Xenopus tropicalis: one gene and its partners. The protein of the gene in region 1 purifies or fractionates together with the protein of each later gene. This does not show direct contact. Links are inferred from orthologs where the notes say so. Each region holds a gene or a part of one and is shown on either strand. Other genes may lie near its edges.

The links.
Region 2: the proteins of relb (region 1) and nfkbie purify together in Homo sapiens (affinity purification with mass spectrometry; 3 studies listed by BioGRID and IntAct, counting the BioPlex papers as one, with this or other methods). This does not show direct contact. The link is inferred for Xenopus tropicalis from reciprocal best matches to the Homo sapiens genes RELB and NFKBIE.
Region 3: the proteins of relb (region 1) and nfkbia purify together in Homo sapiens (affinity purification with mass spectrometry; 4 studies listed by BioGRID and IntAct, counting the BioPlex papers as one, with this or other methods). This does not show direct contact. The link is inferred for Xenopus tropicalis from reciprocal best matches to the Homo sapiens genes RELB and NFKBIA.

The regions. Positions count from the first base shown.
Region 1 is NC_030684.2:71,135,739-71,139,251, forward strand, and holds part of relb (transcription factor RelB), read left to right. Parts: intron 1-411; coding exon 412-719; intron 720-3,513.
Region 2 is NC_030681.2:2,157,247-2,161,447, reverse strand, and holds the start of nfkbie (NF-kappa-B inhibitor epsilon), read right to left. Parts: upstream 2,804-4,201; 5' UTR 2,713-2,803; coding exon 2,378-2,712; intron 1-2,377. UniProt on the Homo sapiens protein: Sequesters NF-kappa-B transcription factor complexes in the cytoplasm, thereby inhibiting their activity. Sequestered complexes include NFKB1-RELA (p50-p65) and NFKB1-REL (p50-c-Rel) complexes.
Region 3 is NC_030684.2:109,511,892-109,515,987, reverse strand, and holds the start of nfkbia (NF-kappa-B inhibitor alpha), read left to right. Parts: upstream 1-1,293; 5' UTR 1,294-1,413; coding exon 1,414-1,649; intron 1,650-2,819; coding exon 2,820-2,928; intron 2,929-3,280; coding exon 3,281-3,488; intron 3,489-3,591; coding exon 3,592-3,680; intron 3,681-3,793; coding exon 3,794-4,054; intron 4,055-4,096. UniProt on the Homo sapiens protein: Inhibits the activity of dimeric NF-kappa-B/REL complexes by trapping REL (RELA/p65 and NFKB1/p50) dimers in the cytoplasm by masking their nuclear localization signals.

The DNA of each region.
Region 1 (3,513 bases):
TAACTGTAGATATTAGTATCACAAGTAACTGATCATGACCGCTCCAACAGTTACTGTAATATATTCAATGCCGTCACTTCTAAAGTCTGCCTGAGGTGTGAACAGCTAAACAATGTGTGCGCCTACAGTCTGAGGTCTTTCAGGTGTGAACAATGCAGGGGCTAGTTAATCTCAGTATTGATACCATTTCAATCTTAGACAAAGGTAAGTAGTCTCAGCAGCCAGACAGATGGGGAGTCACACAAGGGGGGGGCATGGGCTACCAGTTGGACAGCACTGGTTTAGATGATACAGATAAATCATTATTTTGTGCATATTATAGAATAAAGTTTAATAATATTAAATTGATATATTTATCACCAGCATTGTTTCTTTCTAACCTAATTTCCTGTTTTTCTTCTTTTTTATTAGAAGATGTCATGGATCTTATTAATTCTGACATGCCTGTAATGCCCTCGACTTCTTCGACTTTGTTTGCTTGTGAAGAAACTCCTTCTGATATGCTCAGTACTGTAACTGTCTCACATTGTGTGCCCCGTGAGCAATGCCCATCCACATCCTGGGCCTCTCAGCGAGAAAGTCCATATCCAGAATTAAAAATCACAGAGCAACCAAAACAGAGGGGGATGCGCTTCCGTTATCAGTGTGAGGGGAGATCAGCTGGAAGTATACTTGGGACACAAAGCACAGAGCACAATAAGACCCTTCCTGAGATTGAGGTTAGGACATATTACAGACCTGCCACACTGTTTATCTATGTTCATTATCTTGTTGTATGGAGTGATGAATTATTTTAAAGTACCCTTGACGGTACAAAAATTTCAGACTGCCGAAAGAGCTAGGGAACAGGGATATCAGGCAGCAGGGGGCACAAAGTGTGATATTTTTCAAGGATCTGTGTATCTGTGGTTTGTGCATATACAGGTATTTGAGAAAAGTCACTCTGTAGTGACCAAAACATTGGATTTTGCATGTAATTACAAAAATATATTTTTGATTTACAGTATTTGCCAAAGACCTACATATATACATATATACAGGTATAGGACCTGTTATCCAGAATGCTCTGGACCAAAGGTATTCCGTATAAGGGGTCTTTCCATAATTTGGATCTCCATACCTTTAGTCTACTAAGAAATCAATAAAACATTAATTAAACTCAATAGGATTATTTTACATCCAATAAGGATTAATTTTATCTTAGTTGGGATCAAGTACAAAGTACTGTTTTATTTTTACAGAGAAAAAGGAAATTAATTTTAAAAATCTGAATAATTTGATTAAAATGGCATCTATGGGAGACAGGCTTTTCGTAATTCGGAGCTTTCTGGATATGGGGTTTGCGGATAAGGTATCCCATATCCAATATATATATAAAAAACAACAAGAAAAGGCGGCACTCAAGTTTTTTTCAGAAAGTGCAAAAAGGTATATTCAGTTCATAGTAATAAAAACATCTTACATGTAGCCGGCATGTCTGTAGTAATTAAGCGATGTTTCAAGCAAGCCCTGTGCCCTTTATCAAGCTCAAACAAACAAACAGTAGTGCAGGTGCAATTCTCCAGTAGTCAAATACAGCAAGTGACACAATAGGTGATACCTTGGCAACGGTTATAAACAATCCATTATATCTACCTACACTCCCAGTATGTGTAACCCTTTGTGCAAACAATTTGAACATAATATATACATTCATAAAAAGAGATATAGATCATAGTCTTTGTTTAACCCTTTTGGTGCCAAAGACTGTAATTTTTGTATGCACCAAACTTCTCTCTGTTTCAATTTGAGTTCCCGATTCCCTCCATATTTTAGAGGCAGAATCCCTTCCAGGACCATACATATCAATTGGTCTGCTTTATGGCCAGTATCCAACAAATGTTGGGAAACAGGTAATTTGGTGTTTCCCAGATTAATGGAGAATTTATGCACAAACTGGTCACATCAAAAGTAGCCAGTAGTACATCCCCCCTGGTTACTTTTGATGTGACCAGTTTGTACACCTCAGTACCGCACAAGGAGGGCATCCAGGCCTGCACCTGGTTATTGAACAATAGGGCTAATTACACTGAACAGCATCTTTCTTTTTTTGTACAGATGTTGGAGATAATTTTACAATGTAATTACTTTACCTTTAGAGACCAATTCTATTTACAGTTACATGGAACTGCGATGGGTTCAAATGTCGCCCCGTCATATGCCAATGCCTTTATGGCAATGATGGAAGAACTACACATTTATCGCGATGTGGACTTCACAGGCCACTGTGTGGCCTGGTGGAGATATATTGACGATTTCTTTGTGGTATGGCGGGGTGACATGGATTCCTTATCACGGTTCCACGGTAACTTGCAAAAGATATATCCGACGATATATTTTACATTAACTTTTGATCGCCAGCAGATTCAGTTTCTGGATGTCCTGATTTATAGGAATCAGGGAGGTGGTATTGATACATCAATATACACCAAACCCACAGATCGCAATCAAATTTTACATTATCGGAGTAATCAACCAATACATACTAAAAGATCAATACCCATTAGTCAATTGTCTAAAGTAGACAGGATTGTAAGTGATGAACATGAGAAAGCAAAACAACAAGGAGTGATGTGTAATAAATTCCGAGAAAGGGGTTATCCACAACATGTTTTGCAACAGGCTATAAAGAAGGTGGGTAGAACTAATAAGAAATGACAAAAAGATGTCATATTTCATGTGTCACGCAGTTTAGTTCCTGCAGCAAAAATTTGGGGACCATTTTGCCACACCATTGGCACATTTTGCAAAGGGGTTATCCCCAAATTATGGATTTTAAATCACCACCACTCTTATCTTATCGTAAAAGTAAAACGATAGGTAATATGGTCACATCCTCGAGGGTAAAAGCCCAAAGATTGGAGAGACGCACTGATACACACCTGGGTCTGAGAACCCCAGGGATGTATCGATGTTCAGGCTGCACGCAAAGCCATAGTGTGATCAAAGGCAAGGAATTTATACACCCAGGCACAGGTCATAAAGTCCTATTATGGGTGCACCATACTTGTATCTCTAAATATGTAATCTATGTGTTGACTTGTTCCTGTGGACTCATCTATATTTGCGAGACCACTCAAATGGATATGGGCCATAAAGCAAACCAATTGAAAATTATGGTCCTGGATGGGATTCCGCCCCTAAAATATAGAGGGAATCAGGAACTCAAATTGGTGGATACATTTGGTGGATACATAAATTACAGTCTTTGGTGCCAAAAGGGTTAAACAAAGACTATTATCTATATCTTTTTTTATGAATGTATATATTATGTTCCAATTGTTTGCACAACGGGTTACACATACAGGAAGTGTAGGTAGATATAATGGATTGTTTATAACCGTTGCCAAGGCATCACCTATTGTGTCACTTCCTGTATTTGACTACTTAATTGGAGAATTGCACCTGCACTACTATTGTTTGTTTGAGCTTGATAAAGGGCACAGGGCTTGCCCGAAACGTTGCTTAACCCTT
Region 2 (4,201 bases), on another chromosome or scaffold:
TGCCACCCCCCCCAGTACCCCAACATGAGCTGACTCTTGGCTGGAGCTCACATTAAAGGGGAAGGCAGTGCTCCCAGTACAGCAGTATGGTCTATTCATGCATCCAGCAGTGCTGCTTAGTGCCCCAGAAACTGCCCCTGTCATACCCCAAGCCACCCGACTGGCTCATCATACCACCTCTGGTTCTGCTACTCTACTGAAAAGAAAGGGTTAACTCCCTGTCCCCCACCACCTGTCACGAGAGACTGATCTGACGCACAAACTTCCGAAACCTCAACCGCTCTGACATCATAACCAACCCCCCCCCCCCCAGCCCTGCCAGTGAGACCAGTCTGGCCGCTCACTCAGGAAACAGCCGTCTGGATTCCCACTTCCACATTCACCAGCACTGCAGCTCCCCAATAGCACCCAAGCACCCCCATACTGGGCCCCTGCACTCAGTATCAGCCAGGGGCGGGGTTGTACCTAATGTAGGGGAACCAATGGCTGCACAGTATCAGGGACAGGCTCAGGCAGGGGGGTTTGTACCTAATGTAGGGGAACCAATGGCTGCACAGTATCAGGGACAGGCTCAGGCAGGGGGGGTTTGTACCTAATGTAGGGGAACCAATGGCTGCACAGTATCAGGGACAGGCTCAGGCGGGGGGGGGGGGGGTTGTACCTAATGTAGGGGAACCAATGGATGCACAGTATCAGGGGACAGGCTCAGGCAGGGGGGGTTGTACCTAATGTAGGGGAACCAATGGTTGCACAGTATCAGGGACAGGCTCAGGCAGGGGGGGTTGTACCTAATGTAGGGGGAACCAATGGCTGCACAGTATCAGGGACAGGCTCAGGCAGGGGGGAGGTTGTACCTAATGTAGGGGAACAATGGCTGCACAGTATCAGGGACAGCTCAGGCAGGGGGGGGGTTTGTACCTAATATAGGGGAACCAATGGCTGCACAGTATCAGGGACAGGCTCAGGCAGGGGGGGTTTGTACCTAATGTAGGGAACCAATGGCTGCACAGTATCAGGGACAGGCTCAGGCAGGGGGGGTTTGTACCTAATGTAGGGGAACCAATGGCTGCACAGTATCAGGGACAGGCTCAGGCAGGGGGGGTTGTACCTAATGTAGGGGAACCAATGGCTGCACAGTATCAGGGACAGGCTCAGGCAGGGGGGGTTTGTACCTAATGTAGGGGAACCAATGGGCTGCACAGTATCAGGGACAGGCTCAGGCAGGGCTGGGTCTGTACCTAATGTAGGGAACCAATGGCTGCACAGTATCAGGGACAGGCTCAGGCAGGGCTGGGTCTGTACCTAATGTAGGGGGAACCAATGGCTTGCACAGTATCAGGGACAGGCTCAGGCAGGGGGGGGTTTGTACCTAATGTACGGGAAACCAATGGCTGCACAGTATCAGGGACAGGCTCAGGCAGGGGGGGGGTTTGTACCTAATGTAGGGGAACCAATGGCTGCACAGTATCAGGACAGGCTCAGGCAGGGCGGGGTTGTACCTAATGTAGGGGAACCAATGGCTGCACAGTATCAGGGACAGGCTCAGGCAGGGGGGGTTTGTACCTAATGTAGGGGAACCATGCTGCACAGTATCAGGGACAGGCTCAGGCAGGGGGGGGTTTGTACCTAATGTAGGGGAACCAATGGCTGCACACAGTATCAGGACAGGCTCAGGCAGGGGGGGGTTTGTACCTAATGTACGGGGAACCAATGGCTGCACAGTATCAGGGACAGGCTCAGGCAGGGCGGGGTTGTACTAATGTAGGGGAACCAATGGCTGCCCAGTATCAGGGACAGGCTCAGGCAGGGGGGGGTTTGTACCTAATGTAGGGGAACCAATGGCTGCACAGTACAGGACAGGCTCAGGCAGGGGGGGTTTGTACCTAATGTAGGGGAACCAATGGCTGCACAGTATCAGGGACAGCAGGTGAGAGTGGGCCCCTGGGGGCCGTGCAGAACTCCCAGCAAGTGGAATTCCCTATGACACAAGTCTGAGTGACTCTTTGTTTCCACTTCCTCCTGGGCAGGGAATCCCCATTTCTCATTCATGTTTTGGGGGCCCCTATTTCCAGGAAAGACTGCAGCATGGGTTCCCCAAGGGCTATTTGGGCTCAGCACTAAATCAATGAAAGAGCACCCCTATTGCTCCCCACCTTATACACCATCCTCACCCACTTTATACCCCTATTCACAGCTCCCCACCTTATAGGCACAATGGGAATTAATACAACTGGTGCAATTTGCCCCTCACTATCACTATGGGTATATAACAGGGTATTTGCCAGTGATCTGCACCCTGCAAGTCTGACTCTCACTCCCAGGACACCCAGGTCTGTTTGGGGGGCAGGGGACTCAGGGTGGGGACAGGGTAACTCACGTATCGCCCTCCTCAGACACGTAGGTGAGACATTCCAGCTGCTGAGAATCTGGGGTGTCGGGCCCCTCAGAGTCACTTTTGGGCAGAGAGGTTTCGGGCAGCAGCTCGGTCAGGGAGGAGGAGCCATATAGTGAGTCCAGTCTGTCAAGTTCTTGAGGTTCCTGAAGTTTGTCCCCAGATGGGGCAGGTTCCTCGGCGCCTCTCTCCTCAGGGAGGGACTGCAGGTGGCCGACAGCCGGGTCCGACAGGGACTGCACCGAGTCCCCCACCCCCGAGTCATAGCGCCCCTCCTCTGGCTGCGCCGGGAGCTTCTTCTCATCCCAGTAGTCCGACATTGCCAGGGTGCCCAATCACTGTGCCAGGGGCAACTGCCAGCGGCCGTACAGAGGAACAGGCACCAAGGGGGGACACGGGCCCTCTGGGAACTGGAGCAGAAAAAAATGATAAAATGAGGGGCCCCCAGGCTGCACAACCCCAAAGGGCACCCCAGCAAAGGAATGGGATTTGGGGGGTAATACTGAGTGGGGAATGGGGATACAGGTGTGGGGGGGATAAGAGGGCACCAGTCTGGGGGTAAAACAAGAGGCAAAATATACTACCCCCCAAGGGTTAATAAGTCTGGCAGAACGGGGAATAAAGGGGAGGGGGTAACAGAGTAAAGGGGAGGGGGTAACAGGAGGTAAAGGGAGGGGTAACAGAGGTAAAGGGAGGGTAAACAGTAAAGGGGAGGGGGTAACAGAGTAAAGGGGAGGGGGGTAACAGAGTAAAAGGGAGGGGGTAACAGATAAAGGGGAGGGTAACAACGAGTAAAGGGGAGGGCGGTAACAGAGTAAAGGGAGGGGGTAACAGCAGTAAAGGGGAGGGGGTAACAGAGTAAAGGGGAGGGGGTAACAGAGTAAAGGGAGGGGTAACAGAGTAAAGGGGAGGGGAAACAGTAGAGGGGAGGGGGTAACAGAGTAAAGGGAGGGGTAACAGAGTAAAGGGGAGGGGTAACAGATAAAGGGGAGGGGTGGTAACGGAGTAAAGGGAGGGGTAACAGAGTAAAAGGGAGGGCGGAAAAACAAGTAGAGGGGAGGGGTAACAGAGTAAAGGGGGGGGTAACAGAGTAAAGGGGAGGGCAGGGGGGTAACAGAGTAAAGGGGGAGCGGGGCTAACAGAGTTAAAAAGGGAGGGAAAGAGAGAGGGGGTTAAAAAAACCCCCATTCCCCTTCCTCCTCCTTCTTATGGATTGTGGGGGGCTGTTTGTGCCTCTGGGTACTGGGAATGCCAGGGGGGCTGTAAGGTGCCACAGACAGTCACTATTTATTGGGCTGGGGGGGCTGTTTGTGCCTCTGGGTACTGGGAATGCCAGGGGGGCTGTAAGGTGCCACAGACAGTCACTATTTATTGGGCTGGGGGGGCTGTTTGTGCCTCTGGGTACTGGGAATGCCAGGGGGGCTGTAAGGTGCCACAGACAGTCACTATTTATTGGGCTGGGGGGGCTGTTTGTGCCTCTGGGTACTGGGAATGCCAGGGGGGCTGTAAGGTGCCACAGACAGTCACTATTTATTGGGCTGGGGGGGCTGTTTGTGCCTCTGGGTACTGGGAATGCCAGGGGGGCTGTAAGGTGCCACAGACAGTCACTATTTATTGGGCTGGGGGGGCTGTTTGTGCCTCTGGGTACTGGGAATGCCAGGGGGGCTGTAAGGTGCCACAGACAGTCACTATTTATTGGGCTGGGGGGGCTGTTTGTGCCTCTGGGTACTGGGAATGCCAGGGGGGCTGTAAGGTGCCACAGACAGTCACTATTTATTGGGCTGGGGGGGCTGTTTGTGCCTCTGGGTA
Region 3 (4,096 bases), about 38 Mb from region 1:
GAGGCCGCCCCCATTTGGCGCCCCCTACCCGCCGTGCGAGCGCGCATGCGCAAACCACCTCCTCCTCCCCTGCCGCCGCGCTAATGCGCATGCGCCAAAGTTAAAACTCCCATACAGAGCAGTGGGGAGAGGTCCCCATTGCTCCGTATGGGAGCAAAATTTTGAAATTTGCGTGCGGCGGGGCAGCATGCCGCCCCTATGTTTATGCCGCCCTAGGCCCGGGCCTGGGCACATCACTAGTGCAGAGCGCACAATAGTATAGTCAAAGTATTCCATGATGTTTTTGGTTTACTACTTTTATTCCCACACAAGAATTACGGACAGATAACCTTCGGCAAATGGCAATTAAGTTATTTCACCTAAGCAAGGTACCTGAAACTATTATCGTTATAAAAATAATAACTATTAAATTCATACAATCTCATTTCATCCCAACAATAATGCACAAAGGGGCTTATGTTTTTTTTAAAGCAAATGCAAACTGCAATTAGGATTGCCACCTGGAGGTTATTATACTGGCCTGACCAGTTAAAATACTGCAATATCCCAATGTTAACTGGGTAGAGAGATGAAAATTTAGGAAGACCTGTATTTCTTTCCAGTGGGAAAGCCTTACTACAATGCACAAAAGAGTGCAAAATTCCATGTTTCACCCACAATGCAACGTTATTCCCCAGAATCCCAGTGTAATCTTGCTGCTTATGACGCAATTTTTGCAGCCTTTTGGGGAACATTGCGCGAAAGTTGCATTGTTTGTAAACCCCTCGTTTCTGGAAGTTGCTGAAATAAAACAAAATGGCATTAGCATCAATCATTAGGTGCAAGTCGGTTGTGTGTGTGGGTTAAGGTGCAAAATGCAAATGGCTCCCCGGACGTTGAGCTCTTATGTATTTAGCATAATATCAATAGTCTGTCAGACGAAGGTATATTTAACGCATATAAATGCCGAGTATGATGTGGGGAACTAATGTGTATTTTTGCCCGAATCCCCCCAGTGTGTCCCAGGAATGGTGAGTGTGCTGAGAGGAATGTACATGGAGTAGCTGCGCACGTCTGAAAAAAGGGAATTTCTGAGCCTTGTACATATTTCTGCGCTCTTCCTTTTATTGTACCACAGAACTGGCTCCGTCAGGTTCATTGTGTTCCTATACTGACTTATTCTTGGAATTTCCCAGAGTACATAATAGTTCACAAGTAGGAAACTGAGCTCGGCTCCACCCAGAAAAAACCCCGGCTGTATATGTAAAAGTAGCCTGCTGGGGGAGGGAGCTGCCAGATCGCTACCAGAAGTCGCTCTGATCGGATGGGATTAGTATAGAGGAGGCTACAGCTACAGAACTTCACTATCGCAACTGGGATTCTACAGTGTCTTCTAAGCTATTTTGCGGGGAAGCTCAACAACCGGCCGCCGCCATGTCTGTGCCTTTTCACGATTACCAAGGGAATATGATGGAGGGAGAAGCTAGGGATCTCCGGAAGGACAAACTGCTGCAGGACGATCGCATTGATAGCGGCCTGGACTCCCTGAAGGAGGAGGAATACACGGCTATCATTACTGACCTCAGCAACATGAGAATGGAGGGCCCGCCGGACACATCGAACTATGAGCCGGAGCCATGGAAGAAAGAGGTCAACGAAGATGGAGACACGTAAGTGATAGAGAATGGGTTCGTTATATGGCTGGGGATTGTGCTCAGTATCTACTGATATTGTATAGGGGCGATGAACCTTAGTATTAGTACATCTAAAACCATTACATCTGCCTTGCACAGTGTATATACTGATAAAGGGATAGTACTCTATAGTGCTGCACTAATATATATATATATATAACAGGGACACCTAGGTTTGGGGCAGTGTTTAGTGTAGGATATGTAGATATTTACTAATGCATGACTTCTTTATGGTGAATGCACAGTTAGGTGCATGGGGCAGGCTACACTGCATAACACTGCAATTTATTGTGCAGCTTTTTCATGCAACCATAAACATGCAGTATTAGTAAGTTGTGCAAATAGTTAAAAACCCTTGTGCTTTTAATGCTTTTTTTATATCATGCATTGGTATTTGCAAGCATGCAGCAACGCCGGGCAGCTGTTAGATGGCTTGGTGCATGTTTGTTCTTGGTAGGGGAATTTTTTTGTTGGTGCAGAAGAGACGCCATATCTGTCTGGGTTTTCCCTTCTTCGTGTGAGCTGGAGGGAGGGGGGGTGGGAGGACACCTTGTTCTCTGACTTGCTGCCTCAGAGGGGTGGGGGCTGGCAGGCACCCAGGGGCAGGACTCTGGCTTTGGAAAGTCCCTGGCCAGTAGCCAGGAACACAACTGCACACACACACACTCTCACACTCACAGCAGAAAGCGGAAAACAACAGACAGATCTAGAGAAGAAAAAATCCCCAGACTTACACAATTGCATAGTTGGCTGGGGGAGGGGGAAGTACACACTTGTGTCACCACTGACTAGTATTGCAGCTCACCGACATGCCGCTATGATGAAATAGGTTCATTATGAATTATTATTTCCTATTGCTTGGCAGTTTCTAAATTTATGAAGTTTTATTCACCTCGATCTTTCCCACACACTGAACCTTAACACCACTTCACTTACTGGTTCCCAAAGGGGAGGGGGGGGTACATTTTCTACTTCTGAATGATGAAATAGTAAATACAGAAATGACATTTTGTAATAAGATGCTAAGATTGGAAAGCTAGTTTGTCATTTCCCATAAACCTGCTAGTTCATCTTTTCTTTTTTTATGGTTAAATGACACAAATTTGCTTCTCTATTTTAACATGTCCTTTTTATGTTCCCTTCTAGGTTTCTCCATTTGGCAATTATCCATGAAGAGAAAACCCTGGTGAAGGAGGCAATCCAACGTTCATACAGGGACCATTTTTACCTGAACAAGCAGAATAATCTGCACCAGGTAATTTACTTTTTATTTTTTTTCTAAACCTTGTAAAAACTTTATTTCTAGATTAGCTTGTCATGTGCCACCATTGTCGGTTAGGGCAGGGCTGTCCAACTGGAGGCCCGTGGGCCGGATGTGGCCCTCCAAAGGAATTTTAACATATAAAGTATAATAGAGGGCCAGTTTGTGGAATAATTGACCTATGACATGTAAGTTGGCCAGCACTTAAAATATTAATAGTCAGTGCACTCATAGCATGTTCATGAGGGATAGAATATAGTACAAGCTTATTCTGCAAGTTCAATTTTGTGTTTAATGAGAATGAATTTACTGATTTTTCTTTTTTTTTTTAATGTCTTTTCTGCAGACAGCACTACATCTGGCAGTAATCACCGAACAACAAGACATCAGCCAGTCACTTCTCCAGGCTGGTTGTGATCCAGAAATCCAAGACTTCTGTGGCAACACCGCCTTGCACATTGCCTGCAAGCAGGGCTCGCTTCGGGGAGTTGGGGTCATTTTCCAGTATTGTGAGAAACAACTGCCAGCACTTCTGCAATCTGTGAACTATGATGGTATGTATCAAACTTAATCTATAAACCTTTAGACGTGTGTTGTTGTGCTACTTGGCAAATTAGAATTAGAACTGCCTTGCTAATATCTTTCTTTCCGATGCAGGTCACACGTGCCTCCACCTGGCATCGATCCATGGCTATCTTGCAATTGTGGAAAATCTCATTAATAAGGGGGCTGATATAAATGCCCAGGTCAGTATTCCCCCTACTTCACTTGGCTACATACTGATGTTTCTTCCTGCCATGTCTATTGGATTCAATTTTGCCTCTAGATCTAAGAGAAATTTCTGTTTCCCTCACCACAGGAGCCTTGCAATGGTCGCACTGTGCTGCATATGGCCGTGGACCTGCAGAACTACGACCTGATGAAACTGCTGCTTAAGCACGGAGCAGATGTAAACAGAGTCACGTACCAAGGCTACTCTCCGTGCCAGCTCACATGGGGCAGAAATAACATGCTGATTCAACAACAGCTGGTTGAAGTGACACACAAGAATTTGCAGTACCTTCCAGAGAGTGAAGAGGAAGACAGTTCTGACTCCGAATATGAATATAATGATGATGAGGTGAGACCTAGAGACGAGTTCATCATAGTAATGGCATGGGAA